Linked DNA regions of Macaca mulatta. The protein of the gene in region 3 interacts with the protein of the main gene of each other region in a pairwise test. Links are inferred from orthologs where the notes say so. Each region holds a gene or a part of one and is shown on either strand. Other genes may lie near its edges.

The links.
Region 1: the proteins of ARR3 (region 3) and GNMT interact in a two-hybrid assay, tested with the Homo sapiens proteins (2 studies listed by BioGRID and IntAct). The two-hybrid records come from large-scale screens. The link is inferred for Macaca mulatta from reciprocal best matches to the Homo sapiens genes ARR3 and GNMT.
Region 2: the proteins of ARR3 (region 3) and ZNF496 interact in binary tests that used the Homo sapiens proteins (3 or more experiments, as listed by UniProt). The two-hybrid records come from large-scale screens. The link is inferred for Macaca mulatta from reciprocal best matches to the Homo sapiens genes ARR3 and ZNF496.

The regions. Positions count from the first base shown.
Region 1 is NC_133409.1:139,165,352-139,175,053, forward strand, and holds GNMT (glycine N-methyltransferase), read right to left. Parts: upstream 6,226-9,702; 5' UTR 6,219-6,225; coding exon 6,013-6,218; exon of another isoform or gene 5,937-6,012; intron 5,104-5,936; coding exon 4,976-5,103; intron 4,770-4,975; exon of another isoform or gene 4,557-4,769; coding exon 4,440-4,556; exon of another isoform or gene 4,236-4,439; coding exon 4,093-4,235; exon of another isoform or gene 3,991-4,092; coding exon 3,869-3,990; exon of another isoform or gene 3,784-3,868; coding exon 3,612-3,783; 3' UTR 3,463-3,611; downstream 1-3,462. Other genes in the region: PEX6 (peroxisome biogenesis factor 6), read left to right, coding at 425-501, 618-750, 828-1,033, 1,170-1,231, 1,484-1,592, 1,906-2,022, 2,119-2,196, 2,342-2,481 and 1 more. UniProt on the Homo sapiens protein: Catalyzes the methylation of glycine by using S-adenosylmethionine (AdoMet) to form N-methylglycine (sarcosine) with the concomitant production of S-adenosylhomocysteine (AdoHcy), a reaction regulated by the binding of 5-methyltetrahydrofolate.
Region 2 is NC_133406.1:1,703,608-1,713,377, reverse strand, and holds the start of ZNF496 (zinc finger protein 496), read right to left. Parts: upstream 4,680-9,770; 5' UTR 4,602-4,679; intron 4,460-4,601; 5' UTR 4,244-4,459; intron 2,883-4,243; 5' UTR 2,769-2,882; intron 2,420-2,768; 5' UTR 2,383-2,419; coding exon 1,993-2,382; intron 1,671-1,992; coding exon 1,487-1,670; intron 1-1,486. UniProt on the Homo sapiens protein: DNA-binding transcription factor that can both act as an activator and a repressor.
Region 3 is NC_133426.1:76,782,976-76,792,614, forward strand, and holds the start of ARR3 (arrestin-C), read left to right. Parts: upstream 1-3,370; 5' UTR 3,371-3,499; coding exon 3,500-3,547; intron 3,548-7,285; coding exon 7,286-7,323; intron 7,324-7,590; coding exon 7,591-7,621; exon of another isoform or gene 7,622-7,669; intron 7,670-7,771; coding exon 7,772-7,832; intron 7,833-8,029; coding exon 8,030-8,074; intron 8,075-9,639. UniProt on the Homo sapiens protein: May play a role in an as yet undefined retina-specific signal transduction. Could bind to photoactivated-phosphorylated red/green opsins.

The DNA.
Region 1 (9,702 bases), on a different chromosome or scaffold from region 3:
GAATAGAAAACCCAGGCTGGGCGCCGTGGCTCACGCCTGTAATCCTAGCACTGGGGGAGGCCGAGGTGGGCGGATCACCTGAGGTTGGGAGTTCGAGACCAGCCTGGCCAACATGGAGAAACCCCGTCTCTACTAAAAATACAAAATTAGCCAGGAGTGGTGGCGCATGCCTATCCCAGCTACTTGGGAGACTGAGACGGGAGAATCACTTGAACCCAGGTGGAGGTTGCAGTGAGCCAAGATCTCGCCACTGCACTCCAGCCTGAGCAACAAGAGCAAAACTCCATCTCAAAAAAAAAACAAAAAACAAAAACCTAAGGCATCAACAGAGGGCCTCTGCTCCAACTGCTCCTACTGGGGGATGGTCCCTGAAGGTTCCTACCTACTGTGCCCTGCTCATGTGGCCTTTCCTGTGGTTCCCTAGGGCTTTGTGGTAGGGGATCTCTATGCTCTTCTGACCCACAGCAGCCGGGCAGCCTGCACCAGGATCAAGAACTTAGGGTAAGAGGAGTTGGGCCCAGGAAAGGCAGAAAGAGGAAATGGATGTAGATGGGTGGGTGGTGAGAAGGGAATGGGATGTTGGTGGGGAGGAGGCCTCCCTGTGTTCTTCTTTGCAGTTTGGCAGGTGGCTTGACTGAGGAGGATGAGGGGGAGCTGTGTGCTGCTGGCTTTCCCCTCCTGGCTGAGGACTTTGGGCAGGCACTGGAGCTACAACAGACAGCTCACTCCCAGGCTGTTGGAGCCCCCAAGGTGGAGACCAAGTCCTTGGAGGTGGGACAGGAGCCCCTCCAAGAGCATATCCCAACCATGCACTTTCCATCTCCTAGATCCCCTCAGTGTCCTGGCATGATGTAGGTGGGCTGCAGGAGGTGAAGAAGGAGATCCTGGAGACCATTCAGCTCCCCCTGGAGCACCCTGAGCTACTGAGCCTGGGCCTAAGACGCTCAGGCCTTCTGCTCCATGGGCCCCCTGGCACCGGCAAGACCCTCCTGGCCAAGGCAGTAGCCACTGAGTGCAGCCTTACCTTCCTCAGGTGGCCAGAGGGCCTGGAAGGGATGGCGGGTGGATCAGGGGCTGCAGCATGCTGGGGAGCAGGAGGGGCTGCCCGAGAGGTCAGTTGTGTGTATGTGCATCTGACGGGTCTCACCTTCTTACATCCTCTCACTCAGCGTGAAGGGGCCAGAGCTCATTAACATGTATGTGGGCCAAAGTGAGGAGAACGTGCGGGAAGGTGAGTGAGCAGGGAGGAGCAGGGCTTCCCATGCTTCCCAAATCCTGATGGCCCCAAGCCACCCCCACTGCCAGGCTACTCATGGTCATTCCTAGTCCTCCTTTCCACAAGTCACGTTCCTGCCCAGCTGGGTCTAGTACCTGGGGTGCCAGTGCTATATTGTCAGACCCCAGTTTCCCTCCCTGCTCTCGCCTAACTTCAACCCCCTGCAAGTCGAGCTTCACCCTCCTGTGGGCCCCAATCTCTCTTCAGTGTTTGCCAGGGCCAGGGCTGCAGCTCCATGCATTATCTTCTTTGATGAACTGGACTCTTTGGCCCCAAGCCGGGGGCGAAGTGGAGATTCTGGAGGAGTGATGGACAGGTGTTGGTCTGAGTGGGAATGGAGGCTGGGGGGTCCAGGGTGGGAAGGATATGAGAAAGCTCACAGCAGTCTTCAAGAGTCCAGAGATAGACGTTCCTGCTGTTTCAGTTCTGAGGTAATATAATGGAAGCTGAAAGGGGCCATGAAATTGGGCAGGGGCCACTGAGGAGAATGGGGGCCTACCTGGAGGGGCACACTGGGCACAGCTGAGTGGAGGGCCCTGATGAGACTGCCTGTAAGGAGAGGTACCACAGGCAGGGGCAGAGTCTAAGGGGGACACCAAGGACTCTTGCCCTTGCTCCCTTCACTCCAGGGTGGTGTCTCAGCTCCTTGCCGAGCTGGATGGGCTGCACAGCACTCAGGATGTGTTTGTGATCGGAGCCACCAACAGACCAGATCTCCTGGACCCTGCCCTTCTGCGGCCTGGCAGGTGGTCCCCTTGTACTGCTTACCTCCACCTTCATTCTGTGCCTCCACCCCTCATGGCTGGGCTCCCTGAAACTTATACCTGCCTATCTCCCTAAAGATTTGACAAGCTGGTGTTTGTGGGGGCAAACGAGGACCGGGCCTCCCAGCTACGTGTTCTGAGTGCCATCACACGCAAGTATGCCCTGTTAAAAGAAGACTGCCAAGGGCTTGCGCCTTGGGATGCTTAAGGGATGCATGCAACATGCAGAATGAGCTGGTCAGCACTGGCTTTTGAGGGAGGAGGTGATGCCAACTCTGTTTCTTCCCGTATCCCACAACAGATTCAAGCTAGAGCCATCTGTGAGCCTGGTAAACGTGCTAGATTGCTGCCCTCCCCAGCTGACAGGTGCGGACCTCTACTCTCTCTGCTCTGATGCCATGACAGCTGCCCTCAAACGCAGGGTTCATGACCTGGAGGAAGGTGAGCCACTTGCCGGCCTGAGAGGTCAACCAGAAAGCCATTGGGGAGCTGGGTGCACTTGAGTCCCAGCTACTTGAGAAGCTGAGGTAGGAGGATTGCTTGAGCCCAGGAGTTTGAGGCCAGCCTGGACAACACAGAGACCTCATCTCAAAAAAAAAAAAAAAAAAAAAATGTTTAAGGAAAAGAAGACGAGTGGGAGACAAACCTAGTCCTGGATTTCAGAGGGAAGATCACTGACATCTAGGAGACCCTGAGCAGGAAGGCACCATCCCAGGGCTCTCCCCTGCCTGGGCATAGACCACAGCGTCTGTTCCCTAGCCGGGATGGGGAATCTGGCCTCACCTCCCACCTTGTCATCTCCAGGGCTGGAGCCAGGGAGCTCAGCACTGATGCTCACCATGGAGGACCTGCTGCAGGCTGCCGCCCGGCTGCAACCATCAGTCAGTGAACAGGAGCTGCTCCGGTACAAGCGCATCCAGCACAAGTTTGCTGCCTGCTAGGAGCCCCCCAGGGCCTGGGACCCCACTCAGCATGGCTGCAGGTACCTCGATAGCCCACAGAGAGATCTGGGAGGGAAGGGCTCCTCCTCAGGCTGCTGCCAACCCACCTGGAGGCCACCTCCCTCCAGGAGATCCCGGGGTGCAAAGTGGCATTGGGACAGCAGCAAGAGCTCAAGAGATATCTCCTGCCTACTTGCCCCTCCTTCCAGGCTGGCTTTAAGAGGAAGGCCCATCTGCTCAGGAGGAGGGCCAGGTCCTTGGGTTCTGGGGATTGGGCCCTAAGAGGGCTAGTTCTGTGGCTGAAAATAAAACGTGTCCCTCACCCTACTGGTGTTGTGGCATGAAAGGTTGGAGTGGGAAAGAGCAGGGTTATGGGAGGAGTAAGCCCTGGGGGCGGGCGGGGGGCTGGGCATCGTGGGAGTCTGATCCTTCTGACATAAACACAAGGCATGCAGGTACTGAAAAAGGCACAGACTATATTGTTTACCCTTCCATCTGCAGAACCCACATCCCTGCACCCCAGCTGTAGTCTGCTCTAGAGGCTGGCCCTGGTGTGGGGCTGCTGGTCCCGATCTTCAAGACAGAGCCTAGCAGTGCCTGGGTGGAGGCTTGTGGGAGCTGAGGCCACACTCAGTCTGTCCTCTTGAGCACGTGGATGAAGTAGCAGGGAACATAGGCTTGGCCTGGCTTGTAAGGCTTGAAGTCGCCCAGGACGCTGTGCTGGCACTTGCCCCCGAAGGCTGCTTGGAGCAACTCCGTGAAGGATGCCAGACAGTGTGGGTAGTAGGAGAGCCGGAACTTACTGTAACAGAGCCCCCAGCAACCATGAGGACTGGTGACCTCAGCTTCCCCAACTACTGCCTCACCCCCACTGAGCCAAGTGGTACCTCAAGCCAGGAGAGCCATCCTGGCCAGCCCCCGGCACCTGCACTGTATAGTCCAGGGTCACCATGTGGGCCTTGTTGTTCACTATCAGCACTGATGTTGTGATGTCCTTGGTCAAGTCACTCTGTAGGTGGTGGGGCAGGCTGCGTTAGCCTCTGTAACCTACCTTGGGGCCACTGGACCCTCCCTCCACCCCACCCCCACCCCCAATCCCAGAGGGCCCCACCTTATAGTAGATATTCTTCCCTGGGGGTGCACAGCCTGTGCTGAGGATGTGGTCGTAGTTGCGGTGATCAATGACCAGCAGGCCCCCTGCTCGCACCATGCTTGCAATGTTTTTCAGCGCCAGCCGGTGCTCACTCTGGTCCCCTGAGCGCCAGGCAGGGGCAGAAAGGCTCCATCTGCTCAGGGCCCCCAGCACCAGTCTCCCTCCCATCTCTCCCCTCCCCAGGGGTACCAGAGCCAAATCAGAGAGAGGCAGAGAGTCTGCTTTGCAGAGCAGGTGCCCAGAGGTCTGTGGAAGGGGGTACAGCTCAAGGCGGGGGCCATGCCCAAGGCCACACCCTCTCTCACCTTTGCAGTCTGGCAAGTGAGCGAAACTGTTTCCAAGGCAGATGACAGCATCAAAGCCACCCTCTGCTGACTGGGGCACATCTTTGTCCAGAGTCATCCAGTTGGCTTCTTCAATGACTGGGGGCCAGGAAGGGAAAGAGGAATCAGGGAGGCACCATGGTACCAGTAGCAGCCACCTCCACCAAGTGCAGTCCTGCCTAGGATTCTTCTTAAGACACAAAAACTCCCTGTTCGGTTAGGGGGAGGAACCCTGGTTCAGAAGGAGGGCTCTGTGCTTATGGGCTTTTCTTTGAGGGGAGGGACAAGATGCCATAAACACAGTTAAAACCAGCTCTTCACACCCAGTGTCTCATTCTGGAGCTTAAGCCTTGCTTTTCAAAGAAATTACAGTAATTTTGCTGTCTCCCCGAGGAAATTTTGCTGTCTCCCCGAGGAAAACACAACACTCCACCCCCACCCCCACTTAAAGGAGCCCCAGGCAGAATGAACAGTGTTCCTGGTGACTGGGCTGGCGGGGCCTGGCTAGACCTGCATACCCCACTTGTCGAAGGCGGGCTCGTGCCGCCGGTTCCAGCGCTCCTTAAGCGCATACTTCAGCATCTTGTCACTGGCATCCACACTTGTCACGCTGAAGCCCTCTTCCACCAGCATAATGGAGTCCACCCTGGGCAGGGCCAGTGGAGAGAGACAGAGAGGGGCAGTCAGGGGAGCCTGGGAGGGCCAGGAGACCCTGTGCCAGACACTTTTGTCTCCACTTCTCAGAGTCCATTCCTCTGCCTCCTCTCCCCAGGCCCTCTCCACTGACCTCACAAATCTATTTCCTATCACCACGAGGCAACTTTTTTTTGTTTAAGGCGCCTCTTCAGAGCTAGGCACTCTACAAATATGCAGTAATTCTCATGGCAATCCTGAGAGGTAAATAGTGTTATTCCCATTTGAGAGACAGACAAGCTGAGGCTCCTCTAAGTTAAAATAGGTGTGCACAAGAGGCAGCAGAACATGGTGGTTTAGAGCACAGGACAGACCTTAACCAACCCGGGCCTGTTAGCTCCTCTTCAGTGGATGTTGTATGAGGGACTTTTACTTTGCTGAGCCCTTACTTCCCCAGTAGTAAATGAGAGAGTATCACTGCTTAACCTCATGGGGCTTTGTGAGGGTTTGAAAAACTGATGTATCAAAAGCTCCTGGCACTGGCTTGACAGATGCAAATGTTGAGCAATGTTAACTGTTAACACTGCCCAAGGCCGTCACAGGAGGAATATTTGGAGTCTGTCCGTGGCCCTGGCTCCACAGCCTTAAGGACGCTCACTTTTCTGCCCACACCCTCACTCACACTCAGTCTCCCTTCTCAGTGGCCTCTCCCTGAGCACCCCTGCCCCAACCCTTGGCCTCAGGGGGCACTCGCAGTGCCTGTTCTGCCGGGCAGGTACCTGCTCCTGGCCCTGGTGTCCCACCCATTCCAGACTGGCAAAGGCCGCCCCGACGTGCCGGTCCTGTGGTTCTGCGGCCGCGAGGTACAGGCTGAGCCGGACTCCGATCTCATGCAACGCCCCCGGCCCCCTCCTGGGCTTACCCGGTGCCACAAGCCACGTCGAGCACCCGCTGGCAGCCGTGCTGTCGCAGCAGCCCGAGCAGCCATGCCTTGTACTCGGCGGTGCGGCTGCGGGTGTTCCCAATGTACAGCTGCCACACGCGCGCCGCCTCCCCGTCCGCGTACTGGTCCGGGAGCCCTTCGGCTGCCACCCCCAGGGAGCGGGTCCGGTACACGCTGTCCACCATCCTGCGCCGCGCCTGACTTCGCAGTCACTCGCTCCGCACTTATAGCACAGGCACTTCAGGCAGCCGACCGCCCCACCCGGCCAATGGCAGGTAAGCGCGCGGACACGCCCCTGCTGGGCTTTGCGCCGGACGCCTGAGGCTGTACAGCTGCGGGGAGGGCGCTGCCTTGCAATCCTGGGCTAGGTCCTTTTAGCCAGCCTGCGGACCCAGCCCTCTGTGCAATCCCACGGCAGGAGAGGACCCTCGGAATCCTCTGCCCACTTAACCTGGGTCTCCAGGAGAAGGCGAGAGGGGCCAGGAGAGGAGGGAGCAATGAGATTGCCACTCCATCCCCCCCTCCCAAGTTGGAAAGAGAGGAAGTAAAACCTCAGATCCACAGAGCTGAGCGCCAGGCGGGCAGGACTGGACCGTTCCCAGCGAAGGAAGGCATCAGCAGATCTAAACAAAGAATGTGCAGCCAAAGTGTGTGGGGCTAGCCAGCCGATGCAGGGAAGACAGGGGGAGTCTCTGGAGGTAAAGCTGGTCTGTCCACCCAAGCCCGGGGCGGAGCCGGGGCTGGAAGAATGCTCCCCGCCTTGAGGCCAATGTGCCTCTGTTTTGTAGGTGACCATCAGGCTTTTCCCTGAGCTTCCTAAGGTGTAAGTTGGGCCTTGCTTCCAATTTCTGGATCACTGAGAACCCTTCTAAAGACCCTCTGCTGGCCGGGCGCGGTGGCTCACCCCTGTAATCCAGCGCTTTGGGAGGCCAAGGTGGGTGGATCACCTGAGGTCAGCAGTTCGAGACCGTCCTGGCTAACACGATGAAACCCCGTCTCTGCTAAAAATACAAAAAAATTAGCCGGGCCATGGTGGCACGCGCCTGTAGTCCCAGCTACTCAGGAGGCTGAGCCAGGAGAATCGCTTGAACCCGGGAAGGCAGAGGTTGCAGTGAGCCGAGGGCACCACTGTACTCCAGCCTGGTGACAGAGCAAGACTCCCTCTCAAAAAAAAAAAAAAAAAAAAAAAAAGGCCGGGTGCGGTGGCTCAAGCCTGTAATCCCAGCACTTTGGGAGGCCGAGACGGGCGGATCACGAGGTCAGGAGATCGAGACCATCCTGGCGAACACAGTGAAACCCCGTCTCTACTAAAAAAATACAAAAAACTAGCCGGACGAGGTGGCGGGCGCCTGTAGTCCCAGCTACTTGGGAGGCTGAGGCAGGAGAATGGCGTAAACCCGGGAGGCGGAGCTTGCAGTGAGCTGAGATCCAGGCACAGCACTCCAGCCTGGGCGACAGAGCAAGACTCCGTCTCAACAACAACAACAACAAAAAACCCTCTGCTTTCACATGAGGCAGGAAAATAGCGTCTGGAGGCAGGGAACATAAGGCCAATTCACACTTCAGTTATAATGGGAAATATCCTCTCCATAGGTGTACACCCACCATTAATAACTTTATAATTGTAACTTTACTTCATCCTCTTCATTTACATAGGGCATACCCCAAGAGGAGGGTATTTTTTTTTTTTTTTTTTTTTGTGAGACGGAGTCTTGCTCTGTAGCCCGGGCTGGAGTGCAGTGGCCTGATCTCAGCTCACTGCAAGCTCCGCCTCCCGGGTTTAGGCCATTCTCCTGCCTCAGCCTCCGGAGTAGCTGGGACTACAGGCGCCCGCCACCTCGCCCAGCTAGTTTTTTGTATTTTTAGTAGAGACGGGGTTTCACGGTGTTAGCCAGGATGGTCTCGATCTCCTGACCTCGTGATCCGCCCGTCTCGGCCTCCCAAAGTGCTGGGATTACAGGCTTGAGCCACCGCGCCCGGCCTGAGGAGGGTATTTACACTCACAAAAACTCTGTAACACGGCCTTCGAGCCCCTATGCTCATGATCGCTTGCTGTTGAGTGTACTTTCATTTTCAATGAAATCCTTCATTCTTTTCTTGCTTTGTTTGTGCATTTTGTCCAATTGTTTGTTCAAGATGCCAAGAACCTGGACACCCTCCATCATTAACATATTCTGGCGAGCCAGCCAGGGGAAAGAGGTAAGCCCAAAAGTTTGGGATTCATTTTTCTCCCTTTCCTTTCTGCTCAATTACAGGGGCGCTCTCACACTTTCTTTCTTTCTCTCTCTCTCTCTCTCTCCTCCTTCATTTCCAACTTGGGACCCTTGGTGGGCAGCGCCTAAACATGGAAGCAACTGTAGGTTTTTTTGTTTTTTTTTTTTTTGAGATGGAGTCTCGCCCTGTCACCAGGCTGGAGTGCTGTGGCACAATCTCGGCTCACTGCAACCTCTGCCTCCCGGATTCCAGCGATTCTCCTGCCTCAGCATCCTGAGTAGCTGGGACTACAGGTGCATGCCATCACGCCTGGCTAATTTTTGTATTTTTAGTAGAGATGGGGTTTCACCATGATGGTCAGGACAGTCTCGAACTGCTAACCTGGTGATCCGCCCGCCTCAGCCTCCCAAAGTGCTGGGATGACAGGTGTGAGCCACCACGCCTGGCCTGCAACTGCAGGTTTCTGGCCATGGCCAGTGAAACTAGGGGTTTCCATGTGGAGAAGCCTAACTGCCACTGCCCGGTTCGCTTAAGGAATCTGGGTCTTTTTCATTTTTTTTCCTCTCTTTTTCAGTCTTACAGCAGCTATTTTCTAGTAGCACCTTGGAAATTGAGGGCAATTGGCTGGGGTCACTCTCCGGTATTGCCTGAAGGCCTAGGAACAAATGGGAATAATCGCCCTGCCCTTGAAGGGGTAAGGACTTTTTTTTTTTTTTTTTTTAATTATTTCCACACTTGGTACCTGATTCCTACCTGCAATGCAGGTCGGAGCAAACTCACACCTGTTTCAGGGGATTTAAACCTTCTTTTCTTATGATAAATTCTTCCCTTACATACTCTACTGGCTAAGGAACAAAAAGGCCCACCCGCATCCAGCTCTTACTACACTTCATGGCTATTCTTATAAAGTTCATAGCAGGCTCTGGAGGGAACGCATGCAAAGTGGCACCAGTGCCCACCTAAGTAACACCAGAGACACCTAGAACTCTAACATTGGACCCCCCAGGAGGACACTCTGTTGGTCCTGCTCCGTGGGACCTCAAACTGCCAAAGGGGATGCCCTTGGCAGGGGTTTTGAGGTCTAGTGTTAAACCCTCCTTAGAATTTTCTCTCACAGTTGCTATGCTGCTTGGCCCCCGAATCGTTTAGAATCTAAAGTTTATTGTCTAATGGGAAAGTGGGATGGTGTTGCATGCATCCAGGCTTTTGTGCTACTGTTCTAAGCAGGTGGCCTCGTTAACGGGTGATGCTCTCCTTTGGTACTGTTTGGCCCCAGTGCTCCTTGGAGCCTGGGGAGGTTTAGCCTTTAAAAATCAAACTGTCCAGCACTTTGGGAGGCCAAGAAGGGTGGATCATGAGGTCAGGAGTTCAAGACCAGACTGGCCAAGATGCTGAAACCCTGTCTCTACTAAAAATACAAAAATTAGCCTGGCATGATGGCACGTGCCTGTAATC
Region 2 (9,770 bases), on a different chromosome or scaffold from region 3:
GCCTCCTGAACTGTGAGAGAATACATTTCTGTTACATAAGCCACCCACTCTGGTACTTTGTTATGGCAGCAAACGACACACCAATCTTGACTTACGAGCAAGAAAAGGCTGAAGAGTTTGTATGATTTGTACAGGAGTCACTATAGTTTTTCCACACAGAGATATTTAATAGGCATTTTGGTTTTATTACTGAAAAGCTTATCATAAGGCCAACACAACTTCTGCAAATCATAAGAACGCCCCCTGGCCCCCCAGACACTTTCTTTCCATTGTACCTATACAGCACTGTGGCAAGTCCACCCAGAGTCCTAAGAAAGCCCCCCTGGCCCCCTAGACACTCTCTTTCCACTGTACCTACAGAGCACTGTGGAAAGTCCACCCAGAGGAACCCACGTGCCAGACTTCCTTCAACCCAAGAGTACTGGTTTCCCATGATATGTACTTAAAAGTTTTGGGCGGCCAGGCGCGGTGGCTCACGCCTGTAATCCCAGCACTTTGGGAGGCCGAGGCAGGCAGATCACCTGAGGTCAGGAGTTCGAGACCAGCCTGGCCAACATGGCGAAACCCCGTCTCTACTAAAAATATAAAAATCAGCCAGGCGTGGTGGCAAGCGCCTATAACCCAGCTAATTGGGAGGCTAAGGCGAGAGAACTGCTTGAACCTGGAAGGTGGTGGTTGCAGTGAGCCGAGATTGCGCCACTGCACTCCAGCCTGGGTGACAGAGCGAGACTCCGTCTCAAAAAAAAAAAAAAAAAAAAAAAAAAAAAAAAGTTTTGGGCATCTCTGGCTTTGTGCTCAGCCTTTTATAGGTTGTATCTCATTTAATCGTCCAAAAACCCCAAAAAAGGTAATTACTATCTCTGTTGGACAGAGGAAGAAACTGAGGCTTTCGGAGTTTAGAAGCATGCCTCATGTCATACCCAGAAGATTCAAATCTAAGTTTATCTGATGACAAAACTACTTTTCTGTAGCAACCATGTACTTCATACACATACTCAAACCATGTCTAGCTGATGTTCTGGTCCCACACACTAGATACCATCCTCTGTTCTCCAAAGTATTTTTATATCTCTTTGCAGAATCACAATGCTCCTGTAAATAGGAATTGTTTAGCCAAAGAAACAGAGGTTCCAAGAGACAAGAGATGGCCATGCTCCATTCATGCAGCAGGTCCTAGCTGTCATCAAACTGACAAATCCTGCAAAGATGCATCCTCAAAGAGATGAGAGGGCACCACCTCAGTGACACCCACTTACAGAAGAGTTAGCTCTGAGAGGATCTAGAACCATGAAGAGAACAAACATCCTGATGAGATTCTCGTTTAATTGCTCCAGGAAGGGACTCAGACCCTGATAACAGCTCACAGCCCCTCAGGGAACAGGAGAAAACTGCTGATGCAAAAGCCATCAGCTTAAAAACCACCCCAGTGTATAGTGTGTGGTGTGCACTCCCCCAGATCACCCCTGCTACTCCCCGGGCTGCATACCTGGATCCCCGCTGAGCTGGCTTGGTGCTCTGCTTGGGAGCCCCAGGCACTGTGCCAGGGCTATGGGCTGGGCATCCTGGCTCTTTGCAAGGTCGCTGTGGGGCTCTACCGGCAGCTGCTCCTGCTCCTGGTCCAGAGGGCTGTCCCCATCATCAATCACCACAGGGTCTTCACAGTGCTTGAGCTGCAATCCCAGAGAAAGCTTTTCAGAGCTAGGCGAAGAGGTCCCATCTCTCCCTGGGCCTGGTGACCATCCACTCCACAGCTGCCCACCAAAGGCTCCACTTAGGCCTTGGACTGGGCCGTAAAGGGGCATGACACCATCATGCCCAAATTAGAGGCTTCAGGGAGTAAAACTGGCTTTCTTAGGAAACTCTAGTCTGGTCCTAACCAAAGTACACGGCTCTCAGTGGAATTCCTCATTCCCTGGCCAGTGCATACATGGCCCAGTCAAAGTGTCTAAGCACCAGATCTCTACCCGTCCCAGCCCCACCCCTTCTACTCACCCACTGCCAGGGTCTCCCAGGCTCCCGTTCCAGTGCCTCCACCGCGGCCACAGCCTGCTCTCCACTCTCAGGCTCCTGCGCCCGCACCCAGCTCTGGATCTCCCGGGGCAGGATGGCCAGGAACTGCTCTAGCACCAGCAGCTCCAGAATCTGCTCCTTGGTGTGCCTCTCAGGCCGCAGCCAGCCCCGGCACAGGTCCCAGAGGCGTTGCAGGGCCTCCCGGGGGCCCGCCGCCTCCTGGTAGCGGAAACGGCGGAAGAGGCGCCGAGAAGACTCGGGACTGGGAAGCTCCCCTTGGGGGCTAGGGTTCTCTCCAGGTGGGCTCCTCATTTTCCTGGGCTCCTCACTTTCCTTCGGAGCCAAGACTCGGGGGCACAGGGCTGTGGGCATGATGGGATTTGATGGGGGTCAGCAGCAGAAGACGACCCTATTTCCAAACAGAAATCACTGGCTTCAGTGTTCTGGTCTCCTGTGGTCATTTCTGGGGGACAGTGACAAGGAAACTGTCAATGCCCTCAGAGACCAGCCCTTTGGAGAAGCCCTGGGAAAGGTAGGGAGTGTCGGTGTGGCTGGTCTTTACACACAGAATGAAACAGACAGAAAGATACCCTCCCCCCATCAGTACCATTACGTGTGGATTCCCGTAAGCGGGTGACTGGATGAACAAGGCAGGAAATCTGGGAGAAAGTGGTGGCATTTCAACGTGACACTGGTGTTTTGAGCATCCCAGGAAACCAACAGCGCCACATGCAGATGTAATCAAGACTCTCTGGTACCTTAAGTGGCTGGGTCCTCCGGGAGACCCGAGATGGGCAGGCCAAGCAGGCCACTATATTGAAGCTCCGCAGCCGAAGTCACTGTTCTTGTTCTCAAGACCTTTACAAATAGAGCTGGAAAGACAAAGACAGACATGCATCGGATGAGCCTTCCAGCACATCCAGGAATGGAAAATCCATCCTGCTGGTGGCAGAGGGCTGATGGTGCTCAGTGCTGGATGGACAACCCAGCCAGAATCAGCTTTGCCCAACAGAGTCTGCAACGGGAGGCAGGGAAAATACCCAGACACAGGGAACATCACATGAGACAGCCACATGCAGTCCACGGGGGACAAATAACACTGCATTTAGAAATATCAGTGGTTTCCTATGAACCTTCTGCCAACACTTGCCTGACGTTCAACCTCGCCTCCACCCTCTTGTCTATCCTTGACCTCTTCAAACCACATTCAAGGCAACGGCACACCCGCGAAAGCCGTTCCTCGGCCAGGACAGGAGAGTGGGTCCGTCACGGCACAGCTCAGCCCTCAAAGAACCCCTGGACACTGCAGCTGCCACACCCTCAAGGTGGGCCTCAGGGGTCCCTCCACCTCCCCGCTGGTGTGCAGACAACTAGCCGACACATACAGGGTGGCAAAAGAGACCAGCAACCAGTATACCTGGCTGGTGTTCATGACTCGCACCCTAGAACACTGACCCGTGAAAGGGCACATGGGGACACTCACGGTGCCCTTCTCTGCCATCAGGCCTCTGTGATCCTTAGGACCGGCAGTGCCTGCCACTCCTCCATCTGCAGGAGGTTGTCCAGCGTGGCCGCGCCTTATCCTCCAACAGCTCACAAGGGGGACTCGGGCCTCACTCCCATTTCACAGGAAGACAAGTGATGCCAGAAAAGCTACGAAACAACTCAGTGGTTCCAGAAACACCCACTGCTCTGAATCTCCTTGCTTTCCAAAGTAACAACACATACAGAAACGCATATGGGGGCCGTGGAGGCGTCGGGCTGGACGCATTACAGGGCTCCCCACCACCGGATTCCCTTCCAAGGCGGCTCCGGCATCTGGAGCCCGGGGTGGGCCCCGCCCGCCCTGCTCGGCGGCCCCCTGCGGCGCCCATCACACACCTGCAGCGCCCAGGACTACTCAGGTCCGCCCCCCCGGAGCACCGGCGCCCACCCGGGCTGCCACTCGGATCGTCTCCAACCAGACGGCCGCGTCCGTCTTTGTCACGGCGGCACCTGGCGCGTCGGAGGCTCGGAGGAGACGCCTGATGAATGAACTAACGTGAGTGAGGCGGAGGAGGGCCCCGCAGGGGCGGAGCGAGCTCCCAGCCGTTCGCGGAGGAGGGACCGAGCCGGATCGGCAGAAGGGGAAGGAGAAGGTCGCTGCGGGCCAGGGAAGGGGGAGCGCGCCCTCCGCGCCCTCGGTCTCCCTCACACGCGCGTCTCCCGTCTCGCCGGCTCCGGGGCTCCTCACCTCACAGCCCGGAGCTCCCTCCCGGCGTCCGGCCGAAAGCCCTCCTGTGGCGGCGGAAGTCCAGGGCAGCCGTCCTCATCCTCCCGGCCCGCCCGGCCGGGCGTACTCGCTGAGGCGGCGTCTCCGCAGGCGCCCGGCTCCTTTCCCGGCCCGTCCAGACCGCGTCTCCCGACCATCCGGAACGCCACGGCTCGGCTCGGGGGCAAATGGAGGCGCCTGAAAAACAATGGTGTTGCTTTCTCCCCCGCCCGCACCTTCCTGAGCGCTGGGCTCTGGGCCGGGAGGCGGCGCCGCGGAGGCCGGGCGCGGGCCGAGGAGGGCGGGGCGGGGCCGGCCGCGGGAGCCGGGGTGCACTCACCGCCGCGACTCGTCCCTGTTGGCGGGCGGCGCAGGCCTGGCCACTGCCGGAGCCCGCCGGACGCCGAGGAAAGGAAAGGCCGGAGCCCTCCGGCTCCCTCCCCTGGGACACTTCCTGCTCCGCTCTAGGACCGGGGAGGTCTCCGCATCTCAGTGGTTCGCTCCCCCGCCCCCCGGCCGAGGTGTGCGCTGGGGGTGACATCCGACACCCCCGGCCCGCCCAGCTCCGCGCGCGCCTGGGCCTGGCCGCCGGGCCGGGGGCTTTGTGGGTCAGCCACGTCGCCGCGCCCGGTCCTCCCCGCGGGCCCGCCGGTCCGGAAAGTCAGCCCGGGGCTCTTTTCTCCGCTGTTCTCCTTCTCCGGCGCCCCCAGGACACGCGGGCCGGTGGACGCCCGGAACGGCCGACCGGGAGGCGCGGCTGGGATGGAAGCTGGAATTGGGGGTGCGGGATGGAGCGGAGGGAGGAGGCCCCGCGCGCCGTCGGCCGCCTCATTTCAGACGCCCCCTGCGAGCCCCAGCCAGCCGAATTCCGGGCCGCCCAGCCCCTCCCGTCGCTGCGGGACGCCAAAGGTAGCGCTCGCACCCGCGCCTTCCGGGCCTGGCGCCCACGTGCGGAGTCCCCGCGTTAGGAAAGGCCGCGCAGCCGGAGGCCACTCCGAGCCTCGGGACGACCCTGAGGGATGCGCAGGGGGTCTGCCGTGAGTCCTGGCCCTGAGTGGGGGTCACGGGGCTCGCAGAAGTGAACACGGTTACCGCTGTGCGCAGTGGCGGAGGGAGAGGATGAGGGACTCTGACCCAAGGTCATGTGGCAGTGAGGGGCAAGCAGGAATGAGGGCCTCCGGACCCCACCCTGAGACAGGGCTGCTGGCTGCTACACTGTGCTGAATATAGCCCAAATTCTGACATGGGTCGTCCCCGGGGAGTGGTCATTTTTCAGGCTCCAGAGCTTGAGAGAAAGTGTGAACCCGGTCCCTGGGCAGGCCTGATTCCCATGGCCCCTTCTCCATCTGCTCTGCACCGAAATTGGATTCTCCCACGCAGAAGGGGAGAAGGTTCTCCATCTTCCAGAGGGTAGCTACTGCCCGTTGCTCCGATTTCCTTAGGATCCCCTTTCAAGGGCAAGCAGAAGGAAATCGGTTTCCCCAGAGAAAGTGGCCCGGCTGAGTAAGTGGGGACAAGGTGGTTGGACTGAGGCACAGGATCCTTTAGCTCTGTTACTCTTCTAATCCCGTGGCCCTGGGCACCACCACTTCCTCCTCTGAACTGCTGGAATAATCACTTCTGAGTAGCAGAGTTACTGGGAGCCGCTGTTTGTCAATGTTCACATTCTGACTTTAGCAGGAGATGGACCAAGCGAAGGAGTGAAGCCCTTGTTTGTGAACAGTGATTGTTTCCCAGATGACAGCCAGATGCCCGGCAGGGCCACACAGATTTTAGCTGGAGCCTACAGGTGCAAGGAGGAGCCACCCCCTTTGACTTAACTGGACTGACATTTACAGGACTCATGTACAGCCTGCTCTCAGGAACACCAGCCAGGAACTGTGACATGGAGGAGAGGAAGTGGGAAGGCTGGTAGGGCTTAGGTGCTTTGGCAAACATCCTAGTCTGTGGGGTTCCAGAGCCCTGGTGCCACAGCTCCCAACCCTGTGACTGGCCCAGGAACTGGCTGTTGAGTGGGCATCTGTGTTCATAGCTCTGCCCCTTGCAACCCTAAAGCAGGTAAAATGCAGGAGGCAGAAATTGCTGGCAGACAGTATCCAGTTAATCCCCACTACCCAATTCAGTTTCTTCCCCTGACCTGACACGTCCCTGCCCAGTTGTGCCTCTCACTGTTCACCTTTTGAGGCACAAAGTGGGCTGTTTATGCTGCTTCTGCATTTAGCTCAAAACGGGGCTTAAGAGTCAAAGTTCTGGAGTCAGGCACCTGGGTTAAATCCTGCCCCATCAATTCCTAGCCAGGTGACCTCAGGCCTACATAACCTTTCTGTGCCTCAGTTTCCTCATCCAGAAAACAGGGATGATGCTGTGTACCTCATTTGATGGTTGTGTGGGATTGAAGCTTCTGTCATTCAGCAAACCTATACCGAGTACCTCCTGTGCATTTATGAGTGCCAGGCAGCCTTCCAGGTGCTCAGGTAATCTGTGAACACAACTGGCTATTGGAGGAAGCAAAATCAGTAACATGACCTGCTCTCTTTGATCTGTGCTACAGAAAAAAAGGAAAGTGGAGAGAAAAGGAAAGGGAGAGGCATCAGGAAGTCAGGAGTGCTGGGGAGGGGCTGGTAACAGTCATGGTATTAAAGAGGAGGGCAGGCAGGCAGGCCTTACTGTGAAGGTGGTATTTGAGATGAAGGAGTTGATCAGAGTCCCTTTTTCCCACATGGAGACCACCTTGACAGCAAAGGCCCTAAGGGGGAGTGGTGCAAAGCAAGGTGGCGGGTGAATGAGAGGAGAGGGATGGTGTAGAGCTGGGTGGGGGCACAGGAGCCCGTGGGGAAGGTGTTTGCCTCTGGACGCAGTGGACGAGGTGGGGTTGTATCAGATGCCACGGGTGAAGCATCGGGAAGAGGACCCTGCACGTAAATCGTGCTCAAGGACCGCGCCATCGTCATGCCCAGTGTGTGCATGTATTCGGTTTGTATGAATATGATATTGCCAATCATATCTGTTTTTATGAAATGTTTGCTATGTGCCAATGATTCCATCCATGGGGAGACCATAGAAGAATGATCCAAGGAGCTGGGAGGGGAATCAAATAATAAATCAGCGATTCTGCAATATAACGCCATTGGTGATAGGTGTCATGAAAGAAATAGAACATGGTGGGGAAGCGTGTGCTGGGGATGTTCAGGTAGGGCCTCTGTCAGGAGGTGACATTTGAGTGGAGAGCAGGTGGGGGGGCCCCTGAGCAGAGGAGTGTGGGAAGAGTATTCCAGCAAAGGAAACAGCGTGTGCTTGCTCAGCTGGGCAGAGGAACAGTGAGAATGGTGAGGCTGGAACCAGGTCACCGGATTTTATAGTCATTAGAGGGTTTCAAGTAGGAGTGTGGCCTATCGGAATCTTGATTTTAGCAAGATCACTGTGCAGAACAGATGAAGCAGAGTCCCTGTTAGGAATCGCTGTAGAGATCCAGGCAGGAGATGCTCGGTTCCTGGAGTTGGCTGGTGGGGGCACAGCTGGTGAGCAGTAGCCCAGTCCAGGCTCTGTGTTGAAGGCATGCTGCCCGTGTTAGAGGAGTGAGGAACGGCTGTGACTGGGGCTGAAACTGGGTGACTGAACGGGCCCTCTAGAGATGGCAGATGCAAGGAAGCAGGTTTCCAGGAAGGGGCTGGGTTTGGGGTTGAGTTGGTGGATTTGGGACTTGCTGGTTTTCAGATGCCCGGGAGACAAGTGGGGATGACCCTCTGGGACAGAAAGCTGTGGCTGGAGGTGGAAATCTGGAGTCACAGTGTGTAGCAGGAGTTGGGACAAGAGGGTTGAGTGTGTTTTGAGAAGCAGCCCCAGGGAGGGCAGACCCTGTGAAATGCCAGCCCCGGACCCTGGGAGCCCAAGGGGTTAGTGGAGGAGAAGGGAGAGAAGGGGAAGTAGGAGGAGGAAAGTGAGGGGGAGGACGAGGGCAAGAGAAGGGGGTAGGGAGAGCTGCTACCGCCTTGAGAGAGAAGGAAAATTGCAGGTTTGGAGCCCTGGAATCCAAGTGAGCACCTATGTTTCAAGGAGAGAAAGAGGTCGGGGGATAAATCCAGCCCCAAGATCGAATCTATGAGCAAAGGACACTGCCCATTGAATCTGGTAGAGAGGCCCCTGAGCAGAGCAGACAGTGGAGTTCCTGGGCTAGAGTACTTTCTGGAGGAGAAGGGAGGTGACAGAGTGGACACAGCCCCGTGGAGAAAAATGGTCTCATCTTAAAGATGGGAGAAATTGCAGTGCATCGCCTGGAGGAGGGAGGGCTGGCGCCCAGGGCCCGTGGGGAGCCAGAAGGCAGGGAAGGCTGCGTCTGGACCCGGGGCAGGTCCACAGGAGCTGGGCAGGGAGAGCCTGGGGCAGGCTTCTTCCAACTTTGCCAACACTCCAGTAAAATAAGGAGCGAGTGTGACGTTTTATTTTATGAGCCAACTTGGCTAGCTGTGGTACTCAGTTTTTGTTCAAACACCAGTCTGGCTGTTTCTGTGAGGCTGTTTTTTAGATGTGATTAATATTAAATCTGTAGACTTGGAATGCAGCGGGTTACCCTCAATAGCGTGGGCGGGCTTCGTCCGATCTGTCAAAGGCGGTAAGAGCAAAGACTAAGAGCAAAGACTGCAGTCTCCCGAGGAAGGAATTCCCCCTGCGGCGTGCCTTCTGACTTGCTACAGCCTCGGCTCTTTCTGGATCTGCAGCCTGCCCTGCAGCTTTTGGACTTGCAAGCCAATCAGCTCCTTAAAAGAAAACTCTCTCTCTCTCATCTCTCTCTCACTTTTGATCTCTAACCCCCACCCCCTTCCCTCCCCCGACTCCACATGCTGTTTGTTCTGTTTCTCTGGAGAACCCTGACTGCTTCACAGGGCCCTTAAGTGACAGGGAGAAAGAGGGGGTGAAATGTGAGAGCAGGGGGAAGAGGGTGTGAGACAGCCATCTTGCAGTGTGGAAAGGTGAATGGGCAATAGCAGAGGAAAATGTGAATTATGTATCACCTGGAAAGTGAAGTGTGCACAGGGAAATGTGATGTGTAACCTAAAGCCCAGTGCTTTGCAGGTGGGCAGCCATTCCACTGTGACATCGACCCCTGCAGAGGAGGTCGTCATTCCACATAATATGCTTGTAGACCGATGACAAATACAGGTGTGCAAATATGTGAAGCCCCATCACTGGACCAAGCGCACCTGCCTCCTCTGGGAGCTGTCAGAACCCACAGTCCCCAACCACAGCTTGTGCGGCTAACCAGGCACCAGGGATTTGCATGCTTTTTGCAGTGCGAGAAGCTCTGTTGTAAGCTGGGTATAGTAGATACTCAATAAACTGTGGCTTTAGGAACAGTCCTAGGAATAGTAGTGCTAGTTCTTACTGTGTTAGTCACAGACTTCTAGGGTGCACAGATAGCAAGGCATTAATCTGGTCCCTTATTGTGGCCTGTGGAAAGGGGTCAGTGAGAAGCTTTGTGTGATGACATTTTCTCACTATAGAGGCCTCCCAG
Region 3 (9,639 bases):
AAGCAGTGCCTTTGGGGAGGGGTGAGCAGGCTGGAGCAGAATCCACTCTGCATGGAGCTGAGAAGCAATGGGGACTCTGAATTTACTTGATCCTCAGGTCCTGAGAATGTCACCCAGCTGGATACCGGGAGTGAGAGGAGGAGGCGGACTTGCAAAGGAGGCTCTAGAATTTAGAATCTAGATCTCTCAGAAAGCTCAGAAACCTGGATGGGGAAACTGAAGATCCTTGCCCTGTGGTAGAGTAAGGGGTGGAATAAAAGGTAGCAGTGGAGGGCACAGTCATAACCTGAGTCCTGGGCAGCTGACTACTGTGACACTGCATAAGAGGCCCGGGTTTCTGAAGCCAGACGGACCTGTGTTTAAATCCTTGCTCTTCCACTTATTAGTTATGTGAGCCTGGGCGCCTCTTTGTAACTTCCATTCTTCACCAGTGAAATGGGAATGATAACACCAAGGGTTTCTTGAATATTGAATTGGTTACCAGGTGTGGAAGCACTTTGTGAACCATAAAATGCTGCAAGTTTATAAGGTGCTGCAAGTGTTTTTTATTACTGCTTTGCTCCCAGGGATGAACCTGGCCTCTGCAGAGGTGGACAAGCGTGTTTTGAAGTTTGGTGTACACCCAAGGAGAAGCACTACACTACAGAAGCCCCAGCCTGAGCCAGCTTCCTGCTCCCACTGCTTCAGGCTGGTTCACCTCTGCTACATTTCCCCTGACTTAGCTCTGCTACGTTTCTGCAGGTCCCGACACAGCTGCAGCGGCTGCTGCTGCCACCACTGCCGCCCAGTGGCTATTTCAGGAAAAGACCTCTCCCAACCCTCCCCAACCAGCACCCCTGATTGGCTTTTACTATCCTCACCCGGGGCCAAGAGGAATGGAATGCAGCGGATCAGCCTCACTCTCTTCTGTGAAACTCTTCTTTACTTTGGTTTCTGTGACTTTGCTTTACTCCGGTTCTCCTCTTCCTCTGGATGTTCCTTCTGGCCCCTTCCCTGGCTCTTTTTTGCCCTACTTTCCCCACATGTGAGCCTTACCCCAAAGATTCCTCTCCTCTCCTCTCCTCTATCTCCCTCTCCACCATCTCTCTCCCCCCTACCCCCACCCTCTCTTCCCCTTCTCTCTTGGAACATCTACTCTCATGATTTCAACTATGACTCAGAGGTTATCAAAAATTGGTAATGGCCAAGAGACTCCAGCATACAGATCTCTCTCTAATCAAAATGCATCTCTCCTTCTCTCACACTTTTATCACATTTCATTTCTACAGAGATGGCATATACCACAGGCAGCCTAGAATTATACTCATTTGTGGTTTTGGCCATCTCCTCCTGATCCTCCCACCCCCATACCAGAACCAGAGCTCCTTGAGAACATGTACCTCATTGTACCTCTGTCTTTCCCATAGCCTTCCAGGTGAAGTTATTATAACATATGTTCTAGATATTTTATTTCCAATTATATTCTCTGCTGTCCCCATAAAAATGCCTTCCAACTCAGAGTTAAGAAAACAAGTACCTTGCACATAGTAAGTGTTCAATAAATAGTTGTTGAATGTTGAATGAATGAATAACTTAATTATAATTTGTTGAATTGAATGGTTCCCACATCTATAATCTAAGCCCTATATATATTGTTTGCTACAGGACACACACACTTGGGTATCTCATTGACGTCTGGAATTTAGTATGCAGAAAAAGTTTACTATTTTTCTCATGACAGAGATAAATAAGATGTACAAATACCATTATTGCTGACACCCTTCCATTGCCCTACTCCTCCAGTTTGTTCCAGTCCTCTCCCTCTTGGCCCTTCACATCTACTATTCATAATTGTCTTGATGACAGTTTCTTTGCAAGATTTTCTGTTTCCTTGGAGCTTTAAGAAGGAAACGGAGAAGAGGCATGATTTCTAATATCTTTCTCTGAGTTAAGAGGAAAGGAAGGAAGGAAGGAAGGAAGGGAGAGAAGGAGGGAAGGAGGGAGGGAGGGAGGAGGGAAAGGAGGGATAAAGGTAGGAAGGAAGGGAGAGGGAAGAAAATGAGGGAGGGAAGGTAAGTGATATAGTGGAAAAAATGCAGGCTTGGAGTCAGACAGACCTAGGGTTGAACTCTGGCTCCATTGCCTGGCAGCTGTGACTATGGATAAGTCTTTCTGAACCTCCATTTCCTCATATGTAGAATGAGGATGCTAGCACCTAGCTTGTTGTGAGAAGACAATGAAGCAATGCATGTAAGGAACCCAGCAGAGTGCCCTCATTGTCGTTATTGAGAATTAAAGTATAGGTGTATTTGGAAGGTGTGAGGTCCACTCCAATTGGCTGAATTTTCTTTCTTTTTTTTTTTTTTTTTTTTTTTGAGACTGAGTCTGGCTCTGTCGCCCAGGCTGGAGTGCAGTGGCCGGATCTCAGCTCACTGCAAGCTCCGCCTCCCGGGTTTACGCCATTCTCCTGCCTCAGCCTCCCGAGTAGCTGGGACCACAGGCGCCCGCCACTTCGCCCGGCTAGTTTTTTTGTATTTTTTAGTAGAGATGGGGTTTCACCGTGTTAGCCAGGATGGTCTCGATCTCCTGACCTCGTGATCCGCCCGTCTCGGCCTCCCAAAGTGCTGGGATTACAGGCTTGAGCCACCGCACCCGGCCCTGAATTTTCTTTATGAAGTGAACAAATGGAATTACTTGCTGAGAGTAAGTGGAACAAGACAGTCACTCAACCTTGACGGAAAGGAGTAGTGATCTGAAGCCCTGGATGTCTAAACTTACTAATGAAATCATGGGGAAATGACTGGCTCCACATAGTTGTACCCAAGTTAGCTTTGTTCATATGTATTATCTGTAGTGTGCCCTTTTTGTCTTTCTACACACCCAACTTTATCTCCAGCAAGGCTGTTAACAACCTTAGAGTGGAGACCAGGACTAGTTTGTTCAGCGCCTAGGACAGCACAGGAAATCTGTTTCTGCGATTTAATCCATCTATCTCCGTTCCATCCTCCCCCACTGAGCTAATGCCTCATCCACATCCCACTTGAATCTTTTGCTATGTTTTCAGTTGCAATAACAGAAAATCCCAACTTAGATGACTGTTTTTAAAAAAGGAAATATATTATCTTGCATATAAGTTCAGTAGTGGGTGGCTTTGGAGCTGATTAATTCAGCAGTTCAACAATGTCATTAAAAAATCCTGATTCTTTCCATCTCTCCGATTTGAAACCTTGGCATGTTATTTAGCAACTTTCATGGTCACAGGGTGGCTATTGTCGGTCAGGCATTGTTTCCAGACATGGCGATATTCAATGGTAAAAGAGGAAGGCCTCTTCCTGTATGCTTATTTTTATCATTCAAGAAACCTTTCCCAGAATCTCTCCAGCATACCTCCTCTCACATCACAGTGGCCTGAATTTCACCATGCCTATAACTAAGCTGATCACTGGCAAGGGGGATAAAACGACCATGAGTGGCATAGAGGAGCACAGACCCATGCGGAGGAGGGTGAAATACCTTAAAAATGGGGATTCTTCCCACAAGGAGGAAGAGGGAGATGACTATTGAGTTGGTAAGCAATTCTGTCTGCTACAACCTTTTACTGAATAACCCACTCCTTCCTCATGCAGAGATCTGATCATCATTTTCTAACTGGAAGGTCTGGTTGGAGATATCATCCAGGTGTACAGAATGAGGGTGGGTAAGGACCTAAAAATATTTCCCCCACCAATGTATTATAGGGGCCAGAAACTCCATTAGATATGCATTCCTTTGCTTTCTTACTGTTGCATCCTCGTAAAATGCAAGTATTCCAGGTCAAAGTGAAACTTGTGACTGTTCTCTTCGGGAAGCTACTAACTGGAAAGAGGCACAAAGAAATTTTCTGGGGGAATGGAAATGTTCTATATCTTAACCTGGGTGGTGGTTATATGTGCGTTTACACAGGTGTATTAGTTTCCTATGGCTGCTGTAACAAATTACCACAGACTTGGTGACTTGAAACAATACACGGTTCTTCTCTTACAGTTCTGGAGGTCAGAAGTCTAAAATCAGTTTCAGTGGGCCAAAATCAAGGTTTCAGCAGGGCCATGCCTGAGCAGGAACAGCCATCTTGTGGCCGTGAGAGACTTTAGGGGAGAATCGATTTCTTTGTCTTTTCCAGCTTCTAGAGTTGTATTGCTTGCATTCCTTGGCTCATGGCCCCTTCCTCCGTCTTCAAAGCCAGCAGCCTAGCATCTTACTTCAGGCCTCATATTGCCTCCTATTTCAGAGTCAAAAGTCTCTCTGCCCCTCTCTCATAAAGAGACTAGTGATTACATTAGGGCCCACCTGGATAATCTAGAATAATCTCCCCATTTCGAGCTCCTTAATTTATTCACATCTGCAAAGTCTCTTTTTCATATAAGGTAACATTCATCGGTTCCTGGGATTAAGACCTGACATCTTTGGGGGGCATAATTAAGCTTGCCACAGTAGGTAAAAATTCATTGAGCTGCAGTTAAGATTTGTGAATTTTACCTCAGTCAAGAAATGCACAAACTTCTGGAAAAGAGTAATGATTTACATTCCATCATAATAATGAATTAAAGACCTAGCAGATCTACTCTCTTCCTACTGAGAGGTCCATGGATCTGAGTAGAAAGAGAAGAAAAGTGGGATTGAGTACCTAAAAGGGAGGTAGGAGCCTCAAGTGTGGGTCTAAAGACAAAAATAGGCTGACCACTAGTCATTCTAGAGATTCTGGGAAAGGTTTCCTGAATGATAAAAATAAGCATACAAGAAGAGAGGCCTTCCTCTCCTGCCATTGAATATTGCCATGTCTGGCATGAAAAGTAGATTCATTCTGACTTTTCACCTTCCTCGCAGACACCAACCTTGGCATGTATACAAGTCTTTCCTGTATGTCCAGCATCAGTTCCTATCCCACTGTGGTACCTGCAGAATCTGGGCTTCTCACACTATCTGAAAGTCCCTGAGAAGGAGAGAGTTATAGTAACTAAACAACCAGGCCCTGAGATGCATATTGGCTAGGAATGGCAGGGGCTGACACCGTGAACTGTGCAAAGAGAATATGGGACAGCTGTCCAGGGCCCTCAGTGAGGGGCAGGAGTTAGGGAAGGCCCTGCCCAGCCCTCTGAGTCATAGCCATAGCCATCCTCTGAGGAATGGACACCGCATTGTGGAGGTTGGGGTTAAGGGCTATGTCTATAGATAAGTACTAATGTCTAGACTGCTGTAAGGGGAGGTGAAGGAGGTCAGAGTCCTGAAACCCCAGAGCTTGTAGGTTCTGTCTCTACATTTTCTATGCCCGTGAAGCCTGAGCCTAGGCCCTGTGGGAAGGACAGTCAAGAAAGGAAGATTACTTTGTTGTTGCTGTTGTGGGGGTCCTGGCAGCTGCAGAGACAGAAATATCTCTAATTCCATGAGCGGTCATACGAGGCAAGAGAAGCTGCTTACAGCATGGACTTAGTTTCAGGGATTGGACAGAGTCAAGAGCTGGGGTGAGGAGGTTTACCCTAGGTAGGGGTGATAAGATGTCAGCCGCCTATTCCCTCGACATGCATGTCCTGCCAGAAGAACCTGTCCCCGGGCTGGGAATCTTATATTACCTTCCTCTCCAACGAGAAGAGAAGTTCAAGGCTCACAGACATGTGCACACACAGCTCAATGCACTCAGCTCCCCCTCCACCACTCCTGCCCCCACTACCTACAGGAGATTGACTCCTGCTGTGCACATAAGCTGGGATAATCGGGGTTTCTAAACATCAGCTTCAAGAGTCCAATGTCCCAAGTGGTGGGCGGCTTGGGGACGAGGTACTCTTTCCCATACCCTTGGCTTTTGTGTGGCCTGGAGCTGCTGATATAAAGATTGGAGTGTGACACAAGGTATTCCTTTCAAAAACACAAAGGCCTATACTTTGAGCCCTCCCATTTCAATCCCCCACCATGCTTCACCTTTAAGACCTCCAACTCCACTTTGATCCCAGTTCTCAGGTTCAAGGCCTCACAAGGCCAAAATCCTGAAGTTACCCTTCTCAAACTCCCCTGCCTTTAACATCATCAGAATCAACCTCCTACCCCCACTCTGTCCCAGCAGCAATAGCCTGCTAATCTTTTAGCCACTAATCTTTTAGGCACTAATCTGCTTTCCAAACTCTTGGCACCTGAACTATTTATAGCAGTGTTTCATGCCCCCCCCCAAGAACCCTATTCTTTTCTGATGACCCCCACCAATCAAAACACTCAGAGGACTGTGGGTATAAGAGGCTGGGGAGGCAGGCATAGCAACCAGAGCTGGAGACTGATGTGAACTTCATCTCTCTCCCCAGGTAATATTCCAGAGCCCTCGACTTCTAGCCCATACTAAACCCTATATCCCTTGCTCTTAGCATCCCCCTTAATATATCAGGCAGCAGTTGAGGGACACCCTTCCTGACATAGCCTATAGACATTCAGGCCTAGAGACCCTCCAAAGACCTCTGGAAGCTCCCCTAAGCTCACCCCCTGGGCCAGGCTCAGTAAGCATCAAAGAGAAGCCCTAGAGAGACATCTCCCTCTCTCTAAGGATTCCCACCCAAAGGCCTAGCCCCTGGGGACCTGGACGGGGATAAGAATGGGAAAATCTAGGGAAGGCAATGAGAGGGATGAGTTGGTTCAAGGAGGACTTTCAACCTCCAAAGAGACTTCTGTCACCAAAAACTGAGAGTATGAAGGCACCAACCCCTTCTCTCTCACACTTTTCTCCATTCTTTGTTGACAGTCAAGGCCATCATGAGGTGAACTCAGGCTCAGGATCCATTGCAGTAGCAGAAGGAGACAGAATCCATTCATTTGTTCATTCATTCATTCATTCATTCATTCATGTATCCCACAAACATGTCTTGGCACCTAGTGTGTGCCAGGGGATGTCTAGCCTCATACAGACCAAGAAACACATTTTTCTCAAACTTTTCTGGATGGAAACCTCTGTCCAGCCTCTTTCCAGAGAAGTTCCTTCTCTCTGAGGGCTCTCAAGAGTCCCCCAGCCATTCTAGGAAGTTTGGCCCTTTCTGGAGAATAGATAGTATGGTTAGTCAATGATTTGTACAAAATAGGAAAGTTTATTTTCCCCTCTTGCCCAAGATGGGCAAGAATACGGCTGAAGAAGTACCCTTGGCAGAAGGGAGAATAGGAGGTACTTGATGTGGGTGAGGTGTCTGTCTAAGGAAGAAAGGTTACATCACACTAGGTGTATATGGATGGTATGCTGGAGTGGGGTGAGAAGAATGGAAATGAAATGATTGAGCCTTTCTTCTTTCCCTTTTCGCAGAAAAGGCTCAACATCAACTATATAGCCAACATGTCCAAGTAAGAACTCCTTCTAATCTTTTGAATCTGTGAATTGCTCCCTACCCCAATCCAAGTATTTCCCTTTGGGGTAGGGGGATTTCCAATCTCTCCCTAACTTGTGTCCTTGGATTCTATCCCGATTATCTCTACCTTTGCCCCATCCTATGCTCCTGGAGCCTCTTCTCCTAATCCTAAGAATATTTCTTTTCTCCCCACTTCCCTTATTTCCTCTTCCCTGCACTTCCAATCCCCCTCTCCATCCTCTTTCTGGTTTTCTCCCCATAGGGTGTTTAAGAAGACCAGCTCCAATGGGAAGGTGAGAGAACCTGGCCCAGCTGGGCAAATGAGAGGGCAAAAGGGATAGGTGGGTACATCCTTCAAGGTCTCAGGGATCTGGGTTGGGGGCTTCAGGGGAATCCATTCCAAAATGATTGTGAGAATAACATGCAAAGTTGTTCCACAACAGCTCTCCATCTACCTGGGGAAACGGGACTTCGTGGACCATGTGGACATGGTGGAACCCATTGGTCAGTGAGTCCAAAAAGGGGAAGCCTGGGGAAAGAGGAATGGAAACTAGGGAGTAAAAGAAAGTCCAGGAGAGACTGTGCAGAAAAGGAGGCAAATTAAAGGGAAGAATGGGAAGAACCATTTCAGGGATCATCTTCTATTTCATAGTCTTGAGAGCTTTTCCTGACCAAAGTGCTGTCTGTCCTTCTCTCCACAGATGGTGTAGTCCTGGTTGATCCTGAGTACTTAAAAGGTCGAAAGTGTAAGTGGAAATCCTTGTCGGTCTTTGTGTGTTTCAGACAGGTAACTCGATGAGTGGATTGCACCAGAGTATAAGAAAACCAGAAAGTGGCAGGAACTGCGAATGCCTTCTCTGGTGGAGGCTGACAACTGGGAATTCCAGCCCAGTGTGGCCAAATTTTATAATTGTTAACGAGGAACTGTAAATGAAGCTCAAAATAAGACTTTTAGAGGCCCAAAGTGTGAAAAGATTATGGTGTCCCCTTACCCAAATCATATTCAAAGTAAATATCTAAAGCATAAATTAAATTTTATTTTTCAAAATTGCACAAAACTTACACTCGTGCTGAAATTAAAATAGCTTCTTTCAGAATTTCGGATTTTCTCTATTATTACTGGTGGTGGCCCTGCTTGGCTATTGATCTGAATCTTAGACTGCCTATAGAATGATCCAATAAGTCAGAAATCCATATTTTAATGCAGATTTCCTGATTTTCAAATGTTGGCAACTCACTAAAAGACTTTAGAAGCCTGGATAGATTATAAACTTTTTTTTTTCTGTTGGTTAGATGTGACCTTCAGGCTGCCATTTTGCAACCTCTGGTATACGTGTTTCCATCTCCTTTTTTGTGTAGTGAAACTGACCTTTTATTCAAGGAAAAATTCCCAAACAAAAACCAAAACAACAACCACAGGAAGTAACCGTAAGAAACATTACTTTGGCAGCACTACTACAGATCAAGATTATGCTGATTTTTGTTGTTGTCGTTGCTGCTTTTTTTCCTTTTAATTTCTCACTGTGGATTAACCCCACCGTGATCCAACTAGACTGAAAATTGGGGTTGATTTGAAAAAGGTGCTGAATGGGTTGATGAGTACTAGTTCGGATGTAACTGTTAGATATTGGAGAATAAAGTAGCCTAAATCTCTCAGATTAAGCAGTGTGAAGAAGCAATCAAGTCGGTTTTAAATATCAGAGGAACTTTGGGATAGACTCATAAATTAACCAACTTATTTAAGGTTCCCAAGTATTCTATATTTCTAAAACCTAAATCATTTTTTCACATTTCTACAAAATCTTCACAAGCTCTGGAAAGAAATCTTTAGTTAAAAATATATGTTGTTCCAGGAAGAGAATGAATTTTTCCTTTTATTCTAATCTTTTTTTAATGTCCCCTTAGTAGAGTTTTATATTACTTTTCTCTTAAGTTGCGCGTATTTCTTGTTTATTCTTAGTTTTTCAACATGGTTTGTTACCTCTATGAAGATTGTCTTGTTTGCGTCATATTTTCTAATGTTTTTTTTTTTTTTTATCAAGGTACATTTGTGGATGTAAAATATGCTTAATCTATACTGTGGAGTGATAAAGGCCAGTGATAGGGCAGTATATGTGATAGTGTGAACAAACTGTTGTTTAACAAAAATATATCTACAATCTCTCTCTGTATAATTTCTTACAACTGCATGTGACTCTACAGTGATCTCAAAATACAAAGTTTAACTTCAAAAAGGCAATGAGAGAAAAGTAAAAAATACCTAAGGTGGCCTTGCGTTCAATTCTAGCAACAGACAAAGTTGAGAAGCACA